Saccharomyces cerevisiae S288C: one gene and its partners. The gene in region 1 interacts genetically with each later gene. Each region holds a gene or a part of one and is shown on either strand. Other genes may lie near its edges.

What was found.
Region 2: mutations in SND2 (region 1) and MEK1 together harm fitness more than expected from each alone (negative genetic interaction), as found in Saccharomyces cerevisiae (3 studies listed by BioGRID).
Region 3: mutations in SND2 (region 1) and CYC8 together harm fitness more than expected from each alone (negative genetic interaction), as found in Saccharomyces cerevisiae (2 studies listed by BioGRID).
Region 4: mutations in SND2 (region 1) and PNS1 together harm fitness more than expected from each alone (negative genetic interaction), as found in Saccharomyces cerevisiae (2 studies listed by BioGRID).

The regions. Positions count from the first base shown.
Region 1 is NC_001144.5:263,635-270,695, reverse strand, and holds SND2 (Snd2p), read left to right. Parts: upstream 1-3,777; coding exon 3,778-4,323; downstream 4,324-7,061. Other genes in the region: PET309 (Pet309p), read left to right, coding at 1-2,883; signal peptidase complex subunit SPC3, read right to left, coding at 2,973-3,527; PER33 (Per33p), read right to left, coding at 4,419-5,240; BMT6 (25S rRNA (uracil2843-N3)-methyltransferase), read right to left, coding at 5,442-6,539; 60S ribosomal protein eL22 RPL22A, read right to left, coding at 6,748-7,061. UniProt on the Saccharomyces cerevisiae protein: Functions in the SND pathway, a SRP (signal recognition particle) and GET (guided entry of tail-anchored proteins) independent pathway for targeting a broad range of substrate proteins to the endoplasmic reticulum.
Region 2 is NC_001147.6:992,116-1,000,205, reverse strand, and holds MEK1 (serine/threonine protein kinase MEK1), read left to right. Parts: upstream 1-3,694; coding exon 3,695-5,188; downstream 5,189-8,090. Other genes in the region: SOG2 (Sog2p), read left to right, coding at 1-1,753; TFIIH complex subunit TFB6, read right to left, coding at 1,962-2,993; MNE1 (Mne1p), read left to right, coding at 5,351-7,342; CIN1 (Cin1p), read right to left, coding at 7,373-8,090. UniProt on the Saccharomyces cerevisiae protein: Probable protein kinase required for meiotic recombination.
Region 3 is NC_001134.8:462,370-467,515, forward strand, and holds CYC8 (transcription regulator CYC8), read right to left. Parts: upstream 3,402-5,146; coding exon 501-3,401; downstream 1-500. Other genes in the region: SUS1 (Sus1p), read left to right, coding at 1-60, 131-210; DNA repair protein RAD16, read left to right, coding at 4,879-5,146. UniProt on the Saccharomyces cerevisiae protein: Acts as a component of the CYC8-TUP1 corepressor complex which is involved in the repression of many genes in a wide variety of physiological processes including heme-regulated and catabolite repressed genes.
Region 4 is NC_001147.6:634,280-642,371, reverse strand, and holds PNS1 (Pns1p), read left to right. Parts: upstream 1-3,813; coding exon 3,814-5,433; downstream 5,434-8,092. Other genes in the region: YRR1 (Yrr1p), read left to right, coding at 380-2,812; YOR161C-C (uncharacterized protein), read left to right, coding at 3,105-3,251; mRNA transport regulator MTR10, read right to left, coding at 5,615-8,092. UniProt on the Saccharomyces cerevisiae protein: Probably involved in transport through the plasma membrane.

The DNA of each region.
Region 1 (7,061 bases):
CCTGCCGTATTAAGAAATTATAATTATAAGAAGGGTATATGGAGTACCGGCGTACCTGATCATATAAGGAAGCTGCTTCGAGATAAATCGACGTCACCATTATGCTCACAGGATGAGAGAAACCTGGTCTCATATTTTATGGCGCGCGGAAGTGTTCCTCTAAAGTCGGTTGGCAGTGGATTAACAAAGAAAGCAACAACATCAATAACAAGTAATTCAGCTACCACAACATTTGAACGACAGTACCTTATAAAGTATCTTTATCGGCACCAGGCCTATGGGAACGTTATAAAAATTGCACAGAAGTTTCTTTATACCACTATTGGTTCACAAAGATTGTTAAAACAGGATGCCTCATTACCTGAATTGAAAAAGTTCCTTCTCTCTTTATTGATTTTACAAAGAGGTATTCAATTAGATCAGGCAATCTCTGATATCATACAACGGTTTCTATTAACACAAAAGACAATGGTGATAGACCTCATTAACTCGATTTTCTCTAGGATGGTTATAATGAATATGCATGAAGAAGCTGTATATAAATGGGTCAAATGGATGAAACTAGTGAATGGACATTGTGAATTTACGAATTATATGGAGAACAAGATAGTTTTGAGAAACTTTTTATCATTCATGAGGCAATCAAATGTTCGCCCCGATTATTTATCTTATTTGAAAGCAATTCAGCTAACGCAAGGGCCCGCAATAGCGTCTCAATTTGCAACTACGTTGTTGTTCTTATTAACTTATATTAGGAAATTTTCTTCTGCAGAAGCAGTTTGGAATTACAAGTGCGAACATAACCTGCCGATAGTGAGTTCTGACCTGACGTGTATTCTAAAGACGTATTGTCACATGCAGAAGTTTAATTTGGTTTCGTCAACATATTGGAAATACCCTGATGCTCAGCACGACCAAAACCAATTTGATTATCTTTTGGTGGCTCATTCTAGGCTGCATAATTGGGACGCCTTACAACAACAGTTCAATGCTCTTTTCGGTATCGGTAAGCTACCTTCCATACAACATTATGGTATTTTGATGTATACTATGGCCAGAATTGGTGAATTGGATAGTGTCAATAAACTATATACACAGTTATTGAGGAGAGGTATGATACCGACATACGCTGTTTTACAATCTTTACTATATGCACATTATAAAGTCGGAGATTTCGCAGCCTGTTTTAGCCACTTCGAACTATTCAAGAAATACGACATAACGCCTTCAACAGCAACGCATACCATAATGCTTAAAGTGTATCGTGGTTTAAATGACCTTGATGGTGCGTTTAGGATATTAAAAAGACTAAGCGAGGATCCTAGCGTGGAAATCACGGAGGGGCACTTTGCTTTATTGATACAAATGTGTTGCAAAACTACGAACCATTTAATCGCTCAAGAATTATTCAACCTTATGACTGAACATTATAATATCCAACACACTGGAAAAAGTATCTCTGCATTGATGGATGTATATATTGAGAGTAACAGGCCAACAGAGGCAATAGCATTATTTGAAAAACATTCAAAGAATTTATCTTGGAGAGATGGTCTAATTTCAGTGTATAACAAAGCCATCAAAGCTTATATTGGTTTACGAAATGCCAACAAGTGTGAAGAACTTTTCGACAAGATCACAACCTCAAAACTGGCTGTAAACAGTGAATTTTACAAGATGATGATAAAATTTTTAGTTACACTGAACGAAGATTGCGAAACGGCATTGAGCATCATAGATCAACTAATAAAACATTCTGTAATCAAGGTGGACGCTACACATTTTGAAATAATAATGGAGGCATATGACAAAGAGGGTTATCGTGACGGTATAATTAACTTGTACAAGACAATGTCACAGAATAAGGTACCAGCGAATTCCAAAATTTTATATTATATATTGAAGGCCGTTGCCAAAAAAAGCCTACAAAATAATGAGGAAATCAAGGAAACGATTAATATGGTAGAAGACATCATGGAAAATGCTGCCAATGGAACTCTCGACGTTACGTATAACAAACTGCATCCCTCGGTCATGGCATGGCCAATGAGAATGATTGTGAAACATGATAGCCCACAGCGGGCTTTAGAGTTATACAACCGGTACAATGAGCTTTTCTTCAAAAAGCATGATTGGATATCAAATAATAATAAATTTGTGATGATGAGATCATTGTTGGTATTACTAGCTCAAATTGAACAATGGAAAGATTTCGAAACACTTTTCGCTAAATACATGGATCGTATTGAAAACATTGAAAACTTGCCATCATCTACAACGCCAAATATTAAACTAAGAAGCATATTCAGCGGATTGTTCCCTTATAAAGTAAGTCAGTTGATTGCAATGAATAAAATCGATGAGCTGCCATTACTGTGGAAGAAATTGCGAGAAAAAGGTTTTATTTTAGATAATATATCGTGGAACAGCGCTGTAGAAGCGTTATTTAAGGATCCAAGAACCCTTTCGTATGGTATGAAAATCGTTGATGACACACTAATTCATGGGTATAATTTGATCCATAAATTTAGACTATTAACGAAACTATCCGAGGATAAGACGCAGTCCAGTGATAAATCTTGGCCAACATTAAAAATGAAGGAAAAAGAGCCCAATAAATTTCAGCCCAGACTATACTTAAAAAGCGATACATATAACAGTATAATGAGGCAGTTAGACACATATTTGGACGGTATTGATGATTTAAAAACTTTAGAAGATCAGGTACGTGACTTCATATCAAATTACAAGTATTTTATGAAAGATTACTTATTAATGCCAAGAAGCAAGATCAATAAATGGGAACAGATTGAAATGAGACATCTTTCATATTTTAAAGAACTGAGGAAATCTAAGAGAGTATTACCTGTGAGTAAATTCTAGAAATGCATATATCATATTGTATAATCAACTGCATATATATCAAAAAATCATGTAAATAATTAACAAAAATTGAGAGAGCAAAGACTAGTCTAAACTTTGTTTTTATTTTCCACGGTCAGTGTATAGTTGCCTACAGTTTCACCGTAAGTTAGCAAACCTACCCATGGTTGAACATTCCAGTGTAACTTGAAAACCAAATCCTTGCCTTCGAATTTTCCATCTTCAATATCCCAGATAGAATACTTGGATCTTAGATCGTTCACATCAATCACAGCATCATCCTTGCTTTTTATGATCTTATCCCAAAATGTTACCTCACTTGTTATTTTTTCAGTACTGTTATACTCAGCAGTTAGATAGACAAAAACTTGCTTTGTATTCCAATTGAATAGGGGAGTGAGATCTGTATTTAGATCAAATTTAATTTTCATATTTTCCTTTGCCTTGCCTCTCTGTGAGCCAAAATATCTACTTGTTCTAACATTTATTAAAGTTTTGACGTTATCGATATTACTAGGTACTGAGAACGCGTTATTATTGATTAATTGATAGTATGAGGATGCCATGATGAATACAACCATTACAATTCCCATTGAAAAGGCCTGGTTCGATACATTCTGGAATCTTTGGACAAAGGAGAACATTGTTCTGGAGAAGTGCGGCAATGCTAGCTAGCTTTGTGGGTCTTTGTCTCAGTGGAACTTAATAGGCTTAACAATCAACTTTTTTCTCCACGTCTACCGACTGTCATGAAATTAGTCGACCTTCGTTCTGCGCCTTTGAAATGAAAAATTTCAACGTAATTAAAAAAAGATAATAGATGAAAAAAAGGTAGTATTCACGTGTGGCTTCAAGAAGACACCAAAGGCAGTGGTCTAAGTTTGTGTTGGTAGAATGGCTGGCAAAGCAGGGAGGAAACAGGCTAGTTCAAATGCAAAAATAATTCAGGGCTTATACAAGCAAGTCTCTTTGTTTTTAGGAATGGCTATCGTACGTCTATTCATTTCACGTAAGGTTACAATTGGCCAATGGATTAAGCTGGTGGCTTTGAACGTTCCTATGTTCGTTGCTCTGTATATCATTGTGCTATCCGGTAAGCCCAAATATGATGGCAATCGCGTAGTAAAACAAGGTATAGACTTGAACGACAATACAAATTTGATATCATATTTTTTTGATTTGATATATCTATCACTTTTTGGTAACATTGGTATTATAGCTTTCAGGACATTCAAATTTTGGTGGTGTCTACTATTGTGCCCCATCTATGCTGGTTACAAGTTATATGGCCTCAAAAACATGTTCATGCCTGGCGCTCAACAAACTCAGGCAGATAATCGCTCAAAAAATGCTAATGAGGGACAATCCAAATCCAAAAGGCAGATGAAAAGGGAGAGGAGGGGTGAAACTGACTCTAAAATTAAGTACAAGTATCGTTAAACAAAGCTTTTCAAACGTTTTTGAAATTTTTTGCTTTCTATAGAGGAGTGTGAGTATATACAAAATAATATTTAGATATACTTAAAATGAGCATGCTACACAGGTATCTTCCAAAACACTGTCATAACGAAATTCTTATAGCCGTTCCATAAACGGGAACAATATGGGGGCAAAGTACGGCTGACATATGCATCCAACCTAAGGACATATTGTTTAAATATCTGCCTCATAGATTCACTTTGTAGGTACCTTAATTTGAAAAACCATACATAGGTTAGTCCTGCCAACATTGTACCCACTACCTCAAACGACACGTTTGCTCTTCTTACCAACAACAAGAAAAAATTGAAGGGCACTAAGAAGAGGCCCACACGTAGGCCGCAGATAATCTCAAATACTTGCGCCATCTGTAAGAAAAATCCATTGTAGTTTTGGATGAATACCGTTATTTTGGAGTTCAACAAATTTTTCAAATTAAGTGGTATCAAAGGCAAAAATGGCAAAAGGTTTTCCTTAAAATAGTTCAGGAAGTGAAAGATTGAAAAGATAACGGGACTGTATAACGAGCCGCTGATTATGATGTTAAACTGTGATAAGAGAAAAAGTATGAATAGCATGGCAAAATACTGCAAATTATCCAATTTCTTCATCTCTTGGCGCAAAAGCGTAAAATTGAACTTTAACTGGTCACTTTTGAAAAACTGGTAAAGAACGATGGCATATGTAACGGATATGTAAAATAATGATCTTCTATAGCATGACAATTGGTTTTGTTTGGACGTGATTGAAAGATGAAATTGTATAAAGTTAAAGATGGTTAAAAAATGGCCTATAAACCAATAAAACTGGGGTTGTTTTATTCTTGATTTGATAATGGTGCCAAATGGTGCCATGGGACGATTCCTGGGAACGGTCATATTGTTTTGTGCTAATTTTTTTTTACAATTATTCGAAATGAGTCTTGTTTGATCGTGGCCCCTTCTTTATTTCTGATTCCAAATCGAATTTTCAACTCTCTTATTAATATTTTTTCGGTGTGGATGAGAAGAAAAAAAATTTTTCTAAACTCTTCGAGAAAAGAACAATGAAAAGAGAACAGTAAAACGTCATAAAGCCTGTTAGTTCTTGACATAAAGACGGTAAAAGAATCGCATGTTTTCCAATGGAATCGAGTAGTCGAGTTTTGGGTCCATTCTATACCAAATACTGTCGTTCTCGGATACTAGTGACCATGGACCTGTCGTTCCCTTGTCCTTTCTATTGCCTACTAAGATAGTATCGATAAGAAATTGGATTGGGAACTTCTTGTTGTTGATGGTAATGTGAGAATAGCTTCCTGCACTCTCTAGTATGAGAAGATGGCAGCCTGGGGCACAGTTCTCGTTTAACCGTTGCAGAAATTTTATACTCTCCACTTTTTTCTGTGTAAATAGTTCATTTGTAGTAAAAAGTAGAGTTATTAGGTCGAGGCCTTGATATATCTTGATATCTTGTGGCTCTGTCATTTGTAGGCAGTCCTTGTGGGTAAAGTTGACGTTAAATGACTCTGCTTCTGAATCACCATATAGCCATTTCGACTTTATTGTAGCTGTTAGCTTTTCAACAACTGTGGACCAGTCGGCGATATCTACTAGTTGTATGTTTAAATTTCTAGGCTTTTTGTTTACTTCGTTGTCTATTTTCAAAGCAGAGGCAAATTTAGACGAAAAATCTCTCGATAAAGTGAATATGCTCGCTAATGCAACCAGCTCACCACCAGCGCCGCCACCTATGCAGAGCACATTTGAGTCCTTGTCATCAATTTCGCATCTGATAATCTTTAGAAGCTCAGGGAAATGTGCAAATACTGATGCGTAACTTGTTGCTCTGGACGGTGACCAACGACAACAATATGCTATTCTTTTCGAGTCGTTATTGAAAGCAGCATTGTAATCTCTGTTATAAAGGTCAGATTTTACCGCCTGTATTTGTTCAGTTAACGGTGACTTTTCATTGTCTTGATCTTTTGGATATAGCTCTTCTAAGAATGTTATTTTAAAAAGATCGATTATTTCCTGTGGTGGAAGCGTTGATTTATTGTGAACGGGCAATTGGGCCACTTTTTTAGGATTCATGTTAATTGGAAACTGAGAAGAGTAATGATATTGTGAATAAATTGGTATATATTTAAAATATACTGAAGAAGTTAAAAAGGCAAAGCGTCTCATAAGCAACATCAAAAACGTGCAAAAAGAGACCCTGCGATGAGATGTACTCTAATTCAGAAAGAGAAAAAAAAAAAAAAAAAAAAAAAAAATAAAAATGCACTAAGGGCCCAATGGATTTCTTTTTTTGATATTGAATCATTCATTAAACATATTTATTAGGTTTAGAAGATTTTAATTATACAAAACTTATGCTCTATTTAAAATAATATTAATGAATTTATTCTTCGTCTTCTTCTTCGTCTTCTTCTGGAGTGACTTGGTAGAAGGCCAATCTGTATTCGTTGGTCTTGGTAGAGACAAATCTGATCCAGTCTCTCAATTGGTTCTTCTTCAAGTACTTCTTTGTCAAGTACTTCAAGTACTTACCAGAGAACTTGGCAGTGGAAACAACAGTAACAACGGTACCATCTTCAGTGACAGTGACAGCGTTACCCAAGTTACCGACAGCACCTTCGACCTTGATGTGGTCGATCAAGTACTTAGCGTAGGAAGCTGGGTCGAAGACACCGTTTTCAGTTGGAGAAGAGACAT
Region 2 (8,090 bases), on another chromosome or scaffold:
TCATCCTAACCTACCTACTCCAGAACCTAAAATATCTAGAGCAGCGAAAAGAATGGGATTCATAAATACGAACTTGTCTAATGGAGCAATGAATGAAAACAATATAATTTCACTTGCCCCAAGTGCAAATACAACTATAAGTGCATCTACTGCAATGGTCTCATCTAATCAAACCTCTGCAACATCTTTCAGTGGTACAGTCAATGCAGAATCAGAACAAAGTGGGGCAGTGAATGGTACGGAACTATACAATCACACCAAATATAATGACTACTTCAAGAGGTTGTCGATTTTACCAGAAGAGTCAATGAGTAACGGGCATCAAAAAATATCGCATGCAGAGTTGGTTGTTTCCTGTCGGAAGCTCCTATTTAGTTTTACAGAATGCCAACAAGCTATCAGAAAAATCGCCTCTTTCTGTAAAGAGAAGGCCGTAGCGGTTAATGTAGTATCATTATTATACTCTGTCAGATCACATACTGATAATCTGGTGGAGGTCTTGCAGCAAACAGAGAACGAAGACGAATCGCATGATCAGGCGTTAATCAAGCTGTGCCTCACTATCATCACAAATTTTAAACAAATTATAACATTGTTGAGAAAAAATTTTGAGATTTTTTTCAAAGAAGACGATCTATGCTTCATAAGGATGTTTTATATGACATTAATGTGTGCTTATATGGAAATGTATAATGCATGGTCTTTTATCAAAGAAGATGATCAAGTGTCCGGTTCTGCAAGTAAGGCACCCAAGAAACATTCTTTTTCGAGGCACGAGACATCGTCCAGTAGTATCACAAGCGGTGGAGGACCCGCAGCAAGTACGACCAGTACACATTGTAGCGGAAACATAAAATTACTGCCGAAAACAAGGAGCACAAGAACACCATCTGCATCTGCATTGCTTTCAAATAGTAATATTCTGACGGGTGATACCACTGCTGTTCCTCTTTTATCACCAAATCTAAATGGTGCACACACCCATGGTCCAATTTTGGGACACCAAAATGCAATAAGCAATGGAAGTTCTCAAACGAACATGAATGAAGTAAAAACTACTAGCGATACTATTCCAAGGCAACAGCTGCTTCAGCACAATAAATCCATCAGCGATTCGAAAAAAGAGTCACAGGCGCATGAACCTAAACAGCATCCGGTTATGACTTCTTCAATAATTAACGCATCAAATAGTAATAACGTCTCGAATGTTAATATAACCCCACCACCGATGAATGGTGGTGGTGCCGCGAACAGTAGTGCTAATGTAGTGGAGACAAATATTGACATTCAACTGTATCAAACGTTGTCCACAGTAGTTAAAATGGTGAGCGTTGTATATAACCAGTTAACTTCAGAGATATCCAAGATAGCCATTGCTAGCACCATGGGAAAGCAAATTTTGACGGACTCGCTAGCACCTAAAATTCGTGATTTGACGGAAACATGTCGTCAAGCGATGGATTTATCCAAACAATTGAATGAAAGGTTAAATGTATTAATACCGAACGATTCAAATTCAGAGAAGTATCTGACATCTTTGGAGAAGCTGAAAACGTGGGAGATAATGAATTCGTTCTTAAAAGTAATAATATCAATTCTGGCTAATACTAAAATCGTAATGAGCGACGTGCCTAATTTGAATGAGCTGAGACCTAACCTAGCCAACTTGGCGAAGATTACCAAGGATGTCACTGTGATATTGGACTTGAGTTCATACAAGGCTGTATCAGTAAGCGCCAACTCTCCGGAGTAATATAAAAACTTGCATTGTGAGAAAACGCGAACTTTAGAATACGTAATGGGAGGATCATATACCCCATGGTACTGAAATGTATGCTTTATATATATATATATATATATTTATATATTTATGCATGAAAAATGAGGAGTTCGGAAACAGAAGTTTTAAAAGTTACAGATTTATTGTATAAAAGATACACGCCACTGGTTGAATGTAAATGTTAAAATGAATTGGCATGGTCTAAAAATCCCTCGTAAATCTTGCTTAATTCATAATGGTAACCATGGATACCCTGGGATTCCAAAAATATGGGTAGGCGAACTCTTGTTCGTTCCGCGATACCTTTTAACCTCACAATATCAGTCCCATTCAATCCTGCTATGTTCTTGCTGGCTGAAGACGTTTTAGGGACTTCTTTGCAATTATCATTATCATCAGTTAGAATTACAAATATCCTGTCAAGGATGAAGAAGAGTTTGAATAATTTGGATAAAGTGTCATTAATCTCTGAGTCTTCCATATTTTTGAATGTAAATTTTTCAACGTAATCGATGAGATCGTCCGCAATTTTTATTAAATAGGACCCTTGACCAAAATAACTAGAATATCCGCATGTATCTTTTGGGTTTCGGGAATCTGGGCAATGTCTCTTTTCTTCTGATTGAAGTAAATAGTCTGAGTTTGGAACATGGGCAATAGAATACCAAACGAAGTCAACTAAAGTTTTTAAATCCTGCAGCAGCGGAGTAAGACTGGCATAGCCGTTTTTGATATTCAGGCCCCTGGATTGAACAAATTTTCTTTGAATTTGTAAAAGCTGATCATCAACGTAAGAGATGAATTTGGATTGTTGAGACATTGACAATCTTCTCGGGTGTGACGTTCCATTGTGATCATTTGGCAATAATTCACTCAGCTTTGTGGCAGACGAAAAGGGAGAAGACACGTTTATTCTAGGCTGGAAATCGTCAACATCATCGAGCATAGTTACGTCGTTGATTGTGTTGTTAGTTTCATTGTAAACATCATTGAATTCTGGTGTATGATATCTTCTTTTCTTATTACAATTACGCTGCCATATAACGTTGTCTATGTTAGAATTTACGACATCACCTGAGTCTGCACTAATTTCTACATCTGAGTTTGGATCCAAGTTTAAATCATCAATGTCTTTTTCATCTAGATCATTTAAGTTGTTCAAGTCCAGTTGCTCATTCGGTTGAGCATGTAATGGTGTGTTTGGCTCAGACATCAAAATACTGTGTTGAAATCTTTTATTTTTATAATATTTCTTTCCTTACCAGGGCTTGGAGTCTCTACAACAGTTAGCTTACTGTTTATTCTGCCACATTTCCACCCTTTTGTGGGGCTTCTATTTCAAGGACCTTCATTATGGAAACAGGGCGAGGTTGTTTGTTCTTCCTGCATGTTGCGCGCAGTGCGTAAGAAAGCGGGACGTAAGCAGTTTAGCCATTCTAAAAGGGGCATTATCAGAATAAGAAGGCCCTATGAGGTATGATTGTAAAGCAAGTGGTGTAAAATTGTGTGCTACCTACCGTATTAGTAGGAACAATTATGCAAGAGGGGTCCTGTGCAAATAAAAAATATATATCTAGAAAAAGAGTAGGTAGGTCCTTCACAATATTGACTGATAGCGATCTCCTCACTATTTTTCACTTATATGCAGTATATTTGTCTGCTTATCTTTCATTAAGTGGAATCATTTGTAGTTTATTCCTACTTTATGGGTATTTTCCAATCATAAAGCATACCGTGGTAATTTAGCCGGGGAAAAGAAGAATGATGGCGGCTAAATTTCGGCGGCTATTTCATTCATTCAAGTATAAAAGGGAGAGGTTTGACTAATTTTTTACTTGAGCTCCTTCTGGAGTGCTCTTGTACGTTTCAAATTTTATTAAGGACCAAATATACAACAGAAAGAAGAAGAGCGGAATGAGACCGTTGTATAGCTGCAACCTTGCAACCAAAGATGATATTGAGATGGCAGGTGGCGTAGCTCCTGCTCACCTGGAAGTTAATGTAGGCGGCTATAATACAGAGCAGACAATACCTATAGTAAAGCATCAGCTCGTGAAAGTTGGGAGAAATGATAAGGAATGTCAACTCGTTCTAACGAATCCCTCTATCTCCTCTGTTCATTGCGTGTTTTGGTGTGTCTTTTTTGATGAGGATAGTATTCCAATGTTCTACGTTAAAGATTGTTCTCTTAATGGAACGTATTTGAACGGTTTGCTTTTGAAAAGGGACAAAACGTATCTTTTAAAACATTGCGACGTTATTGAATTATCGCAGGGAAGTGAAGAAAATGACATTAAAAAAACACGACTAGTTTTTATGATTAATGATGATTTACAATCTTCTCTGGACCCAAAACTTTTAGATCAAATGGGTTTTCTGAGGGAAGTAGACCAATGGGAAATAACAAATAGAATAGTGGGTAATGGCACTTTCGGTCATGTTCTGATCACGCATAACTCAAAAGAACGTGATGAAGATGTCTGTTATCACCCTGAAAATTATGCTGTGAAGATCATTAAACTAAAACCAAATAAATTCGATAAAGAGGCTCGAATCCTTTTGAGACTGGATCACCCAAATATTATCAAAGTCTACCATACTTTCTGTGACAGGAACAATCACCTTTACATATTCCAGGATCTTATCCCTGGTGGTGATTTGTTTTCTTACCTAGCTAAAGGCGACTGTCTAACTTCCATGTCAGAAACTGAATCGCTATTGATCGTCTTTCAAATTTTGCAAGCTTTAAACTACCTTCATGATCAAGACATTGTTCACCGCGATTTGAAACTAGACAATATTTTGTTATGTACGCCAGAACCGTGCACTAGAATCGTCTTGGCAGACTTTGGTATAGCTAAAGATTTAAATTCCAACAAAGAAAGAATGCATACTGTCGTAGGCACTCCGGAATACTGCGCTCCAGAAGTTGGATTCAGAGCAAACAGAAAAGCATATCAAAGCTTCTCAAGAGCAGCTACGTTAGAGCAACGAGGTTATGACAGTAAATGTGATCTTTGGTCTTTGGGTGTCATTACACACATTATGTTAACAGGGATCTCGCCTTTTTATGGAGATGGTTCTGAGAGGAGTATTATTCAAAATGCAAAAATTGGGAAGCTGAATTTCAAACTGAAGCAGTGGGATATTGTTTCAGATAATGCCAAGAGTTTTGTCAAAGACCTTTTGCAAACTGACGTAGTTAAACGATTAAATAGTAAGCAAGGTCTCAAACATATTTGGATTGCAAAACACTTAAGTCAATTAGAGAGATTATATTACAAAAAGATATTGTGCAATAACGAAGGCCCTAAACTAGAAAGTATAAATTCAGACTGGAAAAGGAAGTTACCCAAAAGTGTTATCATTTCTCAGGCAATACCGAAAAAGAAGAAGGTTTTGGAGTAATCATAGGATTATCTCTTCCTCTTTCAAACTGCGCGTAGTTCAAAATAAAAAGGTATCTGTGTAAAAAAAAAAAAGTAAGTCAATTGTATGATTTTTAAGTAAAAGTTGCCCTTTTCTACTAGAAACGGCGAGAAAAAATGATAGTAGTGTGCCAAGAAGAATATGAAGTTACTTTTTAAAAGATATTCGTCTAGTCATATTGGTAAGCTGATTAAGGACTCTTTAATCACTCCTGAAATACTACCACAGCTAGGGCGACAGCCATCATCGCATAAACGTTTACCAAATAACAAAAGAACTAACTCAATAACTGATAAATGGTTGAAGGATGCGCTAACAAGAAAAGATAAACTGAATGAAGATAAGCTCCAAAATGTAAATTTACGATTAAATGTGGTACTGACTACTCTACAGAAGCTTCGTACATCCGATAATCCTGCTTTGTATTTTGCGTTGTTGAATCGTATTGGCACAGGTCACATAAAATGGCTAAATAAAAGTGGCCGACAGATTGATGCATTCCCACCTGATCGGCTGCCTTTGGAATTTTATCATGAGCTATCTAATATGCTCTATAAACTATCGCTTCGGTCCGCAAATGACAAAATTGCACTAGCTAAATTTTCATTGCAATTATTGGATCGCTATTATTTTCTTAAAACCAAATCTTTAACTATAGAAGGAAAATTTCGGGCAAACATAAAATTTTTGAGGAATTGTACTCTTTTAATTGTTAAATCCCAATCGAACTACTACTTAAGGGCAATACAGCGGTTGTTCGCGGAAAATTCGGAGGGTCAATTATTAGCCAATTTATCCCAGCTGGCATTTTATGTGGAGACCTCCCAATGGACAAGTATGTTGGATATTTTATCCTCATGTGTACCGGATTCTGGTTTAAGAGGTTCGAAGGAGCGTGAAAGAGCTATTCAATTGTTGGAGTTATTTAGTCCATGCCTAGTCAAAAGTCTAAAAGTAATGATAGCACAAAATATGGAGAATGAAGCTTGTCAGATTTTAAGGAGCTTGTCTGAATGGAACTTTCATTTTGATCAGCATGATTCCTCCAACTTGATACAATTATCCCAGAACCATTCTTGCCTCAAAGTTATTGAAACCATGAATGGATTATCATCAACTACCGCTGTCACTAGGCAATTCGGACTTGAAAAATTACCAACTGACGTGAGTTTGAAGCAGAGCATACATATTTTATCAAAAGATAATTTCGAACCTCTCAAGCAAGATTCATTTCTTCAATTTCTATCGTTTAAATTAAGTGATTTGCCTCTGAACTTAGAAGTATGGAAAAAGCACATTAAGGAGGTTGATGACCAAATGCAGGCTGAGTCCAACCTGCATTCCTTAAGAGCTTTTTTTATTGATATGCTACTGTGTCACTTATCTGTGCGCAAGGATTTCGATTTTATGCTTTCATTGGTCGAGCACATAGTATACGAAAAAAATTTATGGCAGCCATTATTACTCACAGATAATATAGTTGGAAACAAAGAAAATTCCACTTTTCATTGCCTCTTTCATGGCGCCTCTCAAGATATTTCTACCAAACTTACTCTACTGGCATTGTATAACCAGTTGAATGAAATCGGCTATCAATTTACCTCCCACGATTTTCTCTCGATGTTGAAAGTCTGCAAAAACTACTCTGATTCTGATTTTTTCTATTTTGCTTTCTATAATTTGTTGGTTACACAAAGTCACAAATTTTTTCTTTTCGATAAGTTTAGTGATAAGTTTTCGTGGAGGTTGCCAATACAAATCGGAGATGCAATTTCTGAATGGCTATCCAGCTTAGAAATTGATATACAAGAAAACACCGATAGAGTTTTGCAGATAACAGATGACGTCGGCGAATGGTATGTTGAGAATAAACCATTTAAGTCAGAAAAAGGGACCATTCAACCAATAAACATAATGGAATTGCGCAAAATTTTTGGGGAGCGAAAAACTCTATTTCATATGGATTCAGAAATTTTCCAAAAATCTAAAGCAAAAAGAGATAAAGAAATGCGGAATGAAGCTTTATTTACCGCAAATGATGCGGAATATAATTTTGCTGCGGATGTATCCTATGCAAAGAGAGTAGAAAATCTATTTTCTTACATAAGATCTAAGCAAATGCAACAAAAATAATGATTATATGTAAAATTTGCCGTTTACATTCTATAAAGTGATATCAGACTCTAATATATTCGCCAATTCATGTTTCTGGCAGGCCACTTGTAGAGCTTGGAGTTGCCTGGTGACACCTAATTCCAAAAATATCTGGAACATACCTTGTAAAGCGACATTTTGATCAGTCATAAATTTTGATTTTGTTGCGGCGTATTCACGTTTCACAAGAACCAACAACCTTTTCAGTATTATGTTGGATAGATTCTTCTGGTCAGCATTTTCTCTCATTGTGTGGTAACAAGATATTGCCAAGAACGGGAAGAATTTGATCACGCTTACTCTCAATGTCGTACAATCTAATAAATGTAGGTTATAGAACTTGGCGAAAACACCCTGAAAATTAAAATTTGGATGTAGAACAACCAACCCAGATTCCATGATTCTAGTCCAAAATTTTACACAATGAATGGTGAATTTGATGGTGTCAAATCTCATACCTCCTGTTAATGGATCCTTGTTACGATCGCGTATTCTTGATTCAGCGATTTGTTTAGCGCTTGGAATTATTCTGATTAAATCGTGGCATAATTCCAGCTGTTGTGAAGGAGACAAAGATCTGTAGTATACGATAAATGAATCTATTGATGAAGTAAGCTGAGAATCTGTAAAATGTATTGCTCCAGCGCTCACTGCATATCCTTTCCAGAATTCTTCACTTAAACCTTGCTTGTGACGGAAATTGAGTATCGAAGAGTCAGATAACACA
Region 3 (5,146 bases), on another chromosome or scaffold:
ACATAAATGAATCTACGAACTTTACCCAAATTTTATCCACCGTAGAACCCAAAGCATTAGGTATGTGAATATTTTATCACTAAATTTATTGAAAAGAGAACGTTACTAACAGTGGAATTTTTTTTTCTAGAAATGGTATCGGATTCAACAAGGGAAACCGTTTTAAAGCAAATAAGGGAATTTCTTGAAGAGATTGTAGATACACAATGAAGGATACGAAAATGCACCTTAATTCCCAATATTATTACATATGCTCATCGGGAAAACCTTTTAAGCAATAATAGATTTTAAGTATGTAATGATACAAATAATAATATATTTATATACGCATATATTTACATGTGCATATATGAAAAATAACCTAATTCACGTTACCCACCTTTTTTTTTAGCCTTTTCTTTATTTATATATGTATCCACAACATAATGAATGAATTGTGAGCTACACAACATTTCTCGTTGATTATAAATTAGTAGATTAATTTTTTGAATGCAAACTTTTTAGTCGTCGTAGTTTTCATCTTCTTCCACTTGCCTTACTACATTTTCTCTTGGAAGTGTGTTCTCCTGTGGGGATTTTTCTTGAGATGTTTGCTCTTCCTCACGCATTTTGGCCTCCTCTTTCACTGTTTCCATTGTTTCCAAAGTAGGTTTGATTACAGTTATCGTTGTAGCAGCGGTTTCATCTTGTTGTTTTTCAGCATCTCTGGAAGCTGCTGGCTCCGCCTCTTCAGTAGAAGGTGCAGATGCTTCAGTTGTGCCGTTTTCCTCTTTAGAATGCTGTCTTACTTCGTCTTCTACAGGGCTTGCTTCTGCAGGAACAGTAGCAGTAGAAAGTTCTATGGTCTCAGCAGTGCTTTGGTCATTTGCTTTTGTTGTTGAACTTTCTGATGATACAGTTGGTTGGACACTAGATGACTCTGGTTCCGTATTAAGCGGTTTTGTAGAAGGAGAAACAGAAGCTGCTTTGGTAGCTTCTTCAGCAGGACTAGCTTCCTGTGGAGGTTCCTGTGCGCCAATTACTGAAGGTATTGAGTTTGCTTTTACAGGTTTTTCTTCTTGTGAAGTATTATTGGTATTAGACTCCACTACTGCTGGCGATTGGTTGCTCACCTCAGATTTTGCATTTTCTTCAATGGAAGTAGCAGTATTTACTAATTTGTTGATGTTTGAATTTGGAGAGTTCAACTTTTGCTTCTTTACCTGTGGTTCAGCGTTCGTTATTCCTGTTGCGGGAGCTTGCGTTGGAATGGCATGGGTTGGTTGACGAGGAGACTTTGTGTTATTCTCTGTGTGGGTGCTACTGGATACGGCGGCATCTACTAAAGTGTGGATTGCACCTTCCATGTATCTCTTTTGAGGTAAAACGTTCTGTTCCACGTTATGCTGGATTAAAGGTTGGGGAGCTTGGGCTTGAGGCTGGCCTTGAAGTTGTTGTGGATGTTGAACAGATTGTAGTTGTTGCTGTTGAGGTGGCAGTTGAGAGCTTTGCGGATGTTCCATAGCTTGTGTAGAAAATGGTTGCAGTTGGTGAGCTTGTATGACTGTTGGCTGTGTGATATATGGTTGCCCTTGTTGAGGATTTAACATTTGCACAGAAACTCCCTTTTGCTGCAGCTGTTGTCTTGGTAGGGGCTGTAATTGCTGCTGCTGTTGTTGTTGTTGTTGTTGTTGTTGTTGTTGTTGTTGTTGTTGTTGTTGTTGTTGTTGTTGCTGTTGTTGTTGTTGTTGTTGTGCCTGCGCCTGTGCTTGTGCTTGTGCCTGTGCTTGTGCTTGTGCTTGCGCTTGTGCATGTGCTTGTGCTTGTGCTTGTGCCTGTGCTTGCGCCTGTGCTTGTGCTTGTGCTTGCGCTTGTGCTTGTGCTTGTGCTTGAGCTTGTGCTTGTGCTTGAGCTTGTGCTTGAGCTTGAGCTTGAGCTTGAGCTTGTAATTGAGGGGAAGCTCCATTACTGTACATTGTTGCAGAAGAGTTAATAGGCGTTTGTTGAGCAGGATGCTGTTGTTGTACCATTGAAGCAGTAGCATTGGCAGATTGGGCTGAAATTCTAGTGTTCAAAGGATTTCCTTGATCATTAGGTTGTAAGGTAGGTTGTAAAATCACAGGAGGTGGGGCAGGAGAGGCATTCGTTGGCGCACCGTTCGATTTGTTTATATTGCCTGGGTTTTCTAACTGCTTTGTTAAAGCTTCTAATCTTTCTCTTATGTGAACATTATTTACGTCCAGTCTTGCAGCTTGCTTATACGCATCAAGGGCGTCAGATAATTGGTTGTTACAAGTTTCGTAAAGAGTACCTAGATCGTACCAAACTTCACTAATATAAGGATTTAATCTTATGGCTCTTGTGTACGCGTCTAAGGCGTCTCTGTATTGAGAAATTTGGTAATATAAAACACCGATTGAGCACCAAAAGATAGGGTTTCTTGAATCTCTATTAACAGCTTGTTGGAAAGCATCATATGCGGCAGTATAATCTGTTCTAATCATATGCACTCTACCGAGATGGTACCATGTAGTGGCATCGGAGGGATCTGCTTCTAACGACTTTAGAAGATAATCCAATGCCTTTTGAGGGTCATAAAATTGTACGTTACTCATACCGTAAAGACAACCTAATTGTTGTAATACTTTGGCATGATGTTGATTTTGAGCCAAGACATGCTCGTAGGCTTCCTTCGCACCTTGCCACTCTCCCATACTCTCCAAAACACTACCCAACTGAAACCATATGTCCCACTCCTGCAAGGGAGCAGGAGGTTGAGGGAGAATGTATCTGAAGCATTCCAAAGCTTGAGACCATTTACCCTGATGTTTATAAATAATACCTAGTCTGAAGTAAATTTCGTTTGCCTTTTCAAAATGAGGGTCCAATTCCAAAACTTTGGCAAAAGCTTCTTCGGCATAGTCGAGCGAACCATATCTGTCATAAAGAATGCCGATTCCATGCCATAATTTCGGTACGTTGGGATTACTGAGGTGGTAGAGAGCCTGTTGATAGGCATTGTAAGCTCTTTGCAGATCATCCAGCATCAGATAACAATGACCTAAAGTAGCCCACACATCTGATAGTTCGGGATTTACCAAAAGTGCTCTTTCATATAATTCTGCAGCTCTTTGGAACATGTCTCTGGAACGGTACAAGTGAGCCAAAGATGTTAAAGCCTTTGCAGATGAGGGATTGAACTGTAAAGTGGCGTCATATGCCATTGCGGCCCTGTCGCCATCACCAAGGGTTTCTGCCAAAGAAGCAATGGAGAGCCAAGTTTCCGCAGTTGATTGTGTTAATGGGTCGAGTGGCTGCTGAGGAACTGCTGCCTGCTGTTGCTGTTGCTGCTGTTGTTGTTGCTGTTGTTGTTGCTGTTGAGCGGGTTGTTCCATTATTGTTTGTTCACCGCCCGGATTCATTTTTCCTAATTTTTTTTTTCCAGTCGTGTTTTGTTTGTTGTTGTTGCTGTTGTAGTTGTAGTACTAGTCTAAAGGCTTATAGCAGTGAAAAAGAAAAACAGAAATATGGGAAAAGAGGTAACGGGAATACGCCTCTGGTTCAAAGACTAGTGACGTTGTCGTATTTGGCTTTGTTGATTCTAGTTCTCTCAATTGAACTCCTGACGTGGTTTGTAAAAAAACAGAGAACAGGAAACAAAAAACAAAAAGACAAAGAAAAAAATGCGCTTTTGCTTTGATAATCGGAAGGGAAAAGAACGACCGACCGAAGAAAAGAAAAATAAAATAAATTTAAACAAACCTTGTTCGAGTTGGATAGGGGAAAAACGCCAAAAAAAGATGGAGTACAGTACGCGGGAGACCAGTGGCTAGCGACGGGAGTAGCAACGATCGAGAAAGGAGTAGCGCAGAGAAAAGAAAGAAAATAGAGAGATAAAATAATTAGAGCCGATACGGCACCCGTGCGATACGAGACAGGACGGAACAGTCCGGTACGTGTGGTAAGTTTTACGAAACGAGAGGACACGGCATGACATGGCCCACGTTATAAGGCAATTTCCATTTTAGCATTGGCAAACGCACAAGCACAAAAAAGATGTGGAACAACCACTAAGAACGGAGTGTGCACGAAAAAAATAAGCTTTTCTCGTGCCCTGAGTGGTGCACAAAAGAAGAAAAGGGAAAAAAAAAGCGAACGAGGAGTGACGTGGACGCGATGAAGGTGACTCAGCCAATCCGGGTGAGCCGCACCCTTCGTCCTCAGTGACCTCTCACGTGCCCTGTATCAGCCAGCCACTGACAGTTTTGTTTTTGCCGCCCAGCTCAAAACTCAGATCGGATGTGCTTTAGTTTTTATCTTCGTTATGTGGATGTTTCATTAGCTTAAAGCATAGGATACCGAGAAACCGTAACGGTTTCATGTTGACCGGTTTTTGAGTTTATGGTTTTAAAGTTCGTCAGTTGTTCCGACGCTTAGATTTTAAGGAGCTTGTCAAAATGCCTAAACCACAATCCTTACAGCACTCAAAATCAACAAAAAGTGAGAAGGTTTGAAAGTAGTACATCCCCTCTTCCCTTTGATTTTTAGCCGCCAAAACTACCAACCCACACAGCACAAAATGTGTTACTCCTCGAAAAAATCTGTTACCCTTTTCCCGCCATGGTTGCCAGGGAAACAGTGGGGACTTCTGCGTTGCTTCTATTTTTCCCCCCTCCTTCCTCCTGCGCCTCCGTTTCTTTTTCTTCCCTTTTCATTTCCCTTTTCTTTTTTTTTTCAAGTTTCGGATTAACGCTATAAAAAAAATGCACAGATAGGACCTTAAGGACTAATAAAACCGACAGTATAACGACGTAATGCTGCGTGGTGTTTTCAAACCTTAGTAGTTTTGGTAATTTTAGATACTCTTGGCCGTATAACTGGTGTACCAACTGAAAAATCATGCAAGAAGGGGGCTTTATCCGTAGAAGGCGTACGAGAAGTACGAAAAAAAGTGTTAATTATAATGAACTAAGCGATGACGATACAGCTGTGAAAAACTCAAAAACTCTGCAGCTGAAAGGGAACAGCGAAAACGTAAATGACAGCCAAGATGAAGAATACCGTGATGATGCTACGCTCGTGAAATCACCCGACGACGATGACAAAGATTTTATCATAGACCTAACAGGTTCAGATAAAGAGCGGACCGCCACCGATGAGAATACTC
Region 4 (8,092 bases), on another chromosome or scaffold:
TTTAAGCTCACATGGAAGCTGTAGTTATTACCAGTATATCCTCTTTATATATAGCGAATGTAGATTTCTGCCAGTATCATACTGGCAGAAATCATAGTGAACGGAGTTAAATCCGCGGAAATTAGAAAAACGTTAAAAGGTTCCATGCCATATTACTAATGGGGTAGAGGCTGATATACGGGGAAAAGGATAACAATACCAAGACATTTATAGTATTCCACATCACTAGACGTATGTAATAGACAACTTCCCCTTGGAATTACCAAAACGCCAAAAATTCGGAATTACAAGAGAAAAGTTAGATCAAAGGAACAACAAGATCAACGAGAAAGTGGGAAAGTTTATTGCCCTCAGCCGTGCCAATAAGAATAGCGTCACAATGAAAAGAAGAAGCGATGCTTTGTTGGGAAGTTTCCAGGCCACCAACGTTACGCCGCCAAGCGATAATAGTAATAGTACGGCCGGTGGAGCCAATGGAAGTAACTCAGGAACACCAACTTCTACTAGCGGTAAGAAGAGAAACAAGCTTATAAAATCTTGTGGCTTTTGCAGAAGGAGAAAACTTCGTTGTGATCAGCAAAAACCTATGTGTTCTACATGCATTTCTAGAAACTTAACAACCTGTCAATATGCTGAAGAATTCAACAAAAACATCGAAAAGAAAGCTACCTATGGTCCCTATCCTAACGCCGATTTACTTAAGAAAGTTGAAGAACTAGAAAACAAAATACGTATTCTAGAAGCTGAAAAAAACACTAATTCGTCTGCGAGCTCCATGTACACTTCGCCAAATTTCCCTCCTTTAGGCACTAGTGTAGGTAGAGGTTCTACTGAAACTTCATCTCCATTACCCGATGGTGTAATAAATCCATATGCCGACCGGTACTACCTACAAAGTAAACATTCCGGAAGATCAACACTATACGGCCCCACTTCTATGAGAACCCAAATTGCAAATAGTAATTGGGGGTTCATTGAAAAATATAAACAATTATGGGCGAAGGTTAAAGTAGAAAGAAATAAATGGAAGCAAAACAACCAAAAAACGATGTGCAGGGAACTAGGCCTTTTGGATGAGTCGGATTGGCAGCCAGATCCATTAATCAAACAGATATGTCGTTTCCTACCATCATATAACAAAGCTTTGTCTATTTTAGATGATTTCTTTAATGATGGAGCATGCAATGAGATCAACGTGATTCTTGATAAGGCAAAAGTTAGAAGAGACTTTTTAGATTATTTCATGCCCGAAAAAGAGGTAAAGGCGGAAGGTGACAGATCCATAGTTTATATTTTATCCAATCCAAAGAAAAATTATTACAAAGCTGCTGTGATACTATTAATCCTATGTCTGAAATACTTCCATACAGATGTCCCAACCCCAATTGAGAAGTTCTTTACTTTACTAAAGGGGGCCTCCACCGCTAAGGTGTTCTACATTGAGCGTGCACAAATGTTAATACTTTTCTACTACCATCGTGAAACATATTCATTCGGTGGAGATGGCTCCGATTTGGTTAATATAAATGAATGTTTAGTTACTACGGTTACTACAATAGGGTTGCATTTAAACATTAGAGAAACTTTCAAGGAACATGAGGTTTTTATGGGTAGCATCGAAAGTTTAGAAAATGTCTGGTTAATGGCAATATTTATCGATTATAACATATCTTGTAACGTTGGTAGACCCTTATTGATTAACAAATTTTATCTAGACGAAAACCAAGATCATTGCATATTGAATAGTAAAAGTAAAACATATGAGGGGAAGCTGAAAAGATATTTAAAACTTACAAGGCCAATGTTGTTAACTCTTTATGATAGAGATAAATTCCCGGATTTGAAAGCTTATTCCAAGCGAATTATCAATTTTGTAGAAGAAGAACTTGGTCCACTTGGACATTACACAGGTGAAAATATATCGGAAGAAGTTCCATTAAGGGAAAGTAGAATTTTAAGTATGGCAGTCGGACTATTATTGTCGTTTTATGCACTAATACATTCTGTGCTGAAAGTCAGAAACATAGAATCCAAAAATAATACGTTTCAATTGGTTTTGATCAATTTTTCCATCATTGTGAATACCACAATTCGATGCTATCGTATCGACAAAGCACTTTACCCAGAGAAATTCGAAGCCTCCAACCCGCACTTACCGCCACATATGGCGTTATCAATGAGCCTCACGGCAGGGCTTTTTTCCAAAACATTGGTGTTTTTTTGTTCTCTGATCTACTTTAAGTTGACGCTTTTCGAAAATGGACTATGTCTATCCAACGATATGGAAGTTGGATGGTCGGATTTGACGAAATTGACTGTTCCTTTAGACAAGGATCTATCTTTAGGTACAGCAATGAGCTTGTACTCGTCAATCTTCGATCGCTTGTTCACGGTCGGAAATAAAGAATTAATACGCACAATGCATAGATCATCACAATTTGTGATAGAGCTAGCTATTGAAAGGACCTATAGGACTATTCTTGGCAACGTTATTGAATTCAGAAAGTTGACCGAGGAAACATGGCTAGCACAAATCAAACAAGAACTAGATCCGCAGAGCGATAATCCATCATCAGAAGCTAAAATTGTGAGTGATAGGCAGCGGGATCTCAGCCTTGCAGTTCCAACGCCCACGCCCTCAATAATTCCAATGTTACCCTCGCCTGGTGAAACTAAGAACCATGCAAAGAGTCAATCAGAGATCATTCAGATGCTGACAGATGAATTTTGGGCAAATTATAACTCAGGCTGGGAAGAGTTGATTAATCAATCTGAATTTTCCACTCTTTTCGATGATTACAAAGACAATTAATGCTAAGTCGAGGCAATCTCGCGGCGCGACTACTTTGAAGCCTTTTTTTAGTTCTTTTTTATGATCAAAATGTTTATATAATTACCCAGATTATCAACCCACTTCGATGATGGGCCGCACCTGACAGAAAAAAATGAATCAACTGGCTACTAAAGATGGTACAAAAGTTCACTTTATTCAGATATAGAATTGCTGAATCGCTGCTTACCGCCATACGCTTGACTACTTTTACACCCGTACACCACACATACAACCGTACGACTACTTTTCATGCAACAGCGTGCGTTTCGACATGTCTTACACACGAGTAGATCATCCCACTGGAAAAATGGCTTGTCACCTGAGGCAGATTTTGGCAAGCCCACTGTTTTTCGCAAATTATGTACTACATGCAGCCATTCACTACCCTTCGAGCGACATACGCGGCGACATCCTGTAGAGCAATGTTGTCCTTACCAAGACGTCTTGATGAAGGATAAGCATACGCGAAGAGATTTCCTCTCGGAGAGCCTGCAGGGAGCGGCGCACCTCGCCAGCGGAGTTATCACACGTAATGGTACTGAGTGAGAGACCCCGCCCGACACCGCACGGCCATTTGCAGAAAGAAAAACAAAGTCCACTACGGCTAATTACTGCAGAATGCTTTTTTTTCTTTTTTTTTGTGGTTGGTATGTTCCCTTCTAACAGGATTCTTCCTTCGGTAGATCCTTGAGGGGTTTAAGGGGTTTTCTGTTTGCGTAATGGCGTAATTGCCAGCTATATATAACATTATCATCACATATATATCCTTATACGTAGCTTGCCCTTATATATATATTGATATGCGGATATTCGTTGAATGTAGTTCAGTCGTAATCGCTACTTATTGGTAATCATAGCAATTGAATGCTTCTATATTCCTTTCTTACTTTTTTTAATTGCGCATTATAAAAAACTTGAAGGTGCATATTTCCGATTAGGGCCATCAATAGTGACCATAATTATCGGTACATTAATACGTCATGCCATTGAATGAAAAATACGAGAGGCCTCCGCAACCTCCTCCAGCATATGATCCCAACCATAGGCCGCCCAGTTCTTCCGAGAACTCTGCCGCGGCGAATGTCAACGATGGCCAGACGCCGTACCATTTTAGACAGGATCAATATTACAATCTAAATTCCAAAACGAGTGGGGCTCCTATAGGGAGCTTCGACGAGGCCTTTCCTACTGAAAATGACAACAAGCCCAGGTGGAACGATTGGCCATTTACCATTTTTTTCCTATGCACGGTAGGCGGATTCATCGCCATTGCTGCCATAACCTTAAGAGCGTGGTCCCAAACCTATAGCAGTACGGGTTCCGGAATATACGATGGTGTGAATACTGGTACGCTGAACACCAATGCTGCCATCCTGCTAGTTTTCGTGTGCATTATTGCCCTAGTATTCTCCGTTTTGGGCCTCACACTTTGTCGAATTTTTCCGAAGCAGTTTATATATTGCGGTATGGTCATCAACCTAGTGGCTTCTCTTGGGACTGCCATCATGTACATGTCTTTGAGGTACTGGTCTGCAGGTATTGTGTTTTTAGTCTTCACGTTCATGACCGCGTGGTGCTACTGGGGTATGAGGTCTAGAATTCCCCTTTCTGTGGCGGTATTGAAAGTCGTCGTCGATGCCATGAAGAAATGCCCACAGATCTTCTTTGTTTCATTTGTTGGAGCGCTAGTTGCTAGTGCGTTTGGGTTTCTCTTCTCAGCAGTCATTGTGGCTACGTACATAAAGTACGATCCTAATAGCTCGAATGGCGGCTGTGACGTTTCTGGTGGCAGCTGTTCGCATTCCAAATTGATTGGTGTTTTGGTTGTGGTTTTTTTCTGCGGCTATTATATCTCTGAAGTAATAAGAAACGTCATACATTGTGTTATTTCTGGCGTCTTTGGCAGCTGGTATTATATGTCAAAGTCTGACCAAGGAATGCCAAGGTGGCCCGCATTTGGAGCATTGAAGAGAGCCATGACTTACTCGTTCGGTTCCATTTGCTTTGGGTCCTTGCTAGTCGCTTTGATCGACCTGTTGAGACAAATATTGCAAATGATCAGACACGATGTTACCTCCAGCGGTGGCGGTCAAATTGCCATCCAGATTTTGTTTATGGTGTTTGACTGGATTATCGGCTTTCTGAAGTGGCTCGCCGAGTATTTCAATCATTATGCATACTCGTTCATCGCTCTTTATGGTAAACCGTATTTAAGAGCGGCCAAAGAAACCTGGTATATGTTAAGAGAAAAGGGAATGGACGCCCTAATCAATGATAATTTAATTAACATTGCACTGGGTCTATTTTCAATGTTTGCTAGTTATATGACCGCTTTGTTCACGTTCTTGTATCTAAGGTTTACCTCGCCTCAATACAATTCGAACGGCGCTTACAACGGCGCCCTAATGGCATTCTCATTTGTTATTGCTTTACAGATTTGCAACATTGCAACAGAAGCCATTAGATCCGGTACTGCAACTTTCTTTGTTGCTCTTGGTAATGACCCGGAGGTCTTCCATCATTCTTACCCTCATAGGTTTGATGAGATTTTTAGGGCATATCCTGATGTACTCAGAAAATTGAGTCACCAGAATGTGTGAAGAGATGTTTATCATATGTCACTATTTCTCCTTGTTCTTCTTAACAATTCTATATTTAATTACAATATTTTAATACTTAATTTTTTCTACTTCAATTACCTTTAAGTTCTATCTTTATTAAATTGTTTATTTTGTTTTTATACATTCTGTGCAGATTAACAATATGCTATTTATTAAATGACTATTCAAACCTCGAATTGATATTCTTTCTTGAATACCATCCAACAAACGCCCTAATTCCTTCCCTCACCTTTCTGTAATCCTTTGAATTCAACCCCTCAACCACGGCCTTCGCCAAATTATCTCTTTCATTAAGGGTTACTTGGCCAAGTTGTTCCACCACTTTGTAAATCCAATCGATGCAAATAGTGGCATCGTTGTTGTTTGCCTCTGTCAATATCCTTAAACATTTTACAATACAACTGATGGCATCTGAATGAGCGGTGTTTTCAAAAGTAGTAACCAGCCCGATGAATAACACTAATATCAATTGGTTACCGTGGGCTATCACGACTTCGTTAATAACTTGCTTCCTCCATTCATCTGGAACAATCTCGATGGACACTGTTGAGATCGGTGGAGTCTTGAACCCCCAGGATATGATATCATCTAAGCAACGCAAGATACATATGTAAGCATCGTAGTTATCAAGCTTATTAACACACTCGAGGGCAACATTCAGTACGGGGCCTAGAAGCTCTGTTGAATTCAAAAATGCGCCAGGATAAAACATTATCAAGTCTGAAATTAATGAGAAAAAATCGATTATTGCCTCATGATAATCGTTTAATTGAAGTTTATCAAACTTGTTGAAATTCAGTATGAACGTCTCGCATTGGGAGAGGGCAAATTTCCAGACAGCATCTTTCAGACTCGGGGATATGGGGAATGATTCATCGTCACCAAATATAACAATAAGGGAACCAGAACACCACAGATAGGAACCGAATCCAGTCGTTAAATAACCTTGGATTAGAAATTCGGCAACAGAAGGTAATATTGGCTCGCAAAATACATGAAATCTCTCAAAAATTCTGCGTAGCAATTTAGCTACTCTTTCTACGATAATACTATCAGTCATTGCACCTGCATCAACTAGCAGAGTTCTTAATGCCTTCCAAATAAATTCTATCCTGGGGAGTAAAGGTTCCGATCCTTGCTGAGGATAATTGTATCTCGGTTTCAATTCTTCAAAAAGCGCATATAGCAAATCAATCTTATCAGCAATCTGTGGAGCCAAGAGCGTTGGATTTGCTTTCCATTGAGGAATCAAAGCCTCGATTTGTCGCAAATTATCATCTACGAGCTTTTGAAATATTACTGAAACTTTGGCCTCTGGCTGATTATTTATTACTGCACTTAATCCTTGACATAGTTCAAATTGTGACTCAATATCAATCGAACTCTGCACGTTGAGGAAGAAATTAATCAACTGATCAATATACCCAACTAATAGTTTAGAGCAGTCCGAACAGAAGAACATTAATGCATGTGATGATGCAGTGATTATACTTTGCATATCCGATGAACCCTCATGCAGTTGAAAACCGTTAAAAATATATTGCAATTGAACTTCTAGTAGTTCTGGATGCTTGGCTGTCCATTCGGTATATCTACCAAGAACTAATGTTGATGCATACCTAATCTTGGCCTGCTCTGGAAGGTTACAAATGATTTTAATGATTTCTGGCAATATAGTGTTTTCAGTCAACGAAATTTCTTTAGCCATAGTCCTCAGGGAAAATAATGGGGCTTCCATTATTTGCCAGCTATTGTTGTTTTCTATTGCGGACTTAATTCTTATTAGTGGTTGCGATAAAGCCTCAGAAGTTCCCACCACTGCAGTACAGTCTTTTAACACATCGCCCATATGATACCTGAAATCTTTAAATTTATCTTCTTCCTCTTTAGATGAAAACTGGCCTGATGGATATTGTAAATGAGTAATTATACCATTTATTAATTTAACAAAAATATCAGAGTAAGCTTTTCTTGATTCTTGATATCTTGGCAAAACTAAACTTTGTTTGAAGTTAAACCAAAAGGGGAAAGTATAGGAAACGACATCTAAGTCTTCATTTTTGCAGGTCAACATCAATAATACCAAAACCATTGGTTTAAAAAAATCGGGGTTTTTAGAAATGACAACTGACCAAGCCTCGCCAGCTTCTACGAATAATCGTGTCATACCTTCTAGGAGATCGTCATCATATTCATCGTTCAAAGGATGGTCTGTGAACAGAGTAGGCAATAGTTTTTCTTGTAAAAGCATTAACTGATGAAATAAAGCAGAAATCAACTGCTCATTAGTAGTATCTCTGCTTTCTCTGAGGATAACGCAGAGACAATCAATAGCGGAATCGAATGCCTCCATGTCACTTTCATTACCATTGGAAATAGTTTCAAACACGAGATTTATTAAGGGTTGTACGGTTAGCAACTGTTCAACAGGGAATTCATACGACCAAGAGTTCAAACACCGTAAAATTTGTTCTAATGAAATAGATGAGCTGGAATTCCCGTCTGTATTTTGTAATAGGTCTATGCATGATACAAGGAATTTCAATACATCTTCTGCTATCGGATCAATTAGTTCATGAATTCTGGAATTGAATTCCACTTCTGTCAAGGAAGTAGATGCAATGTCTAAGGTTTCCTC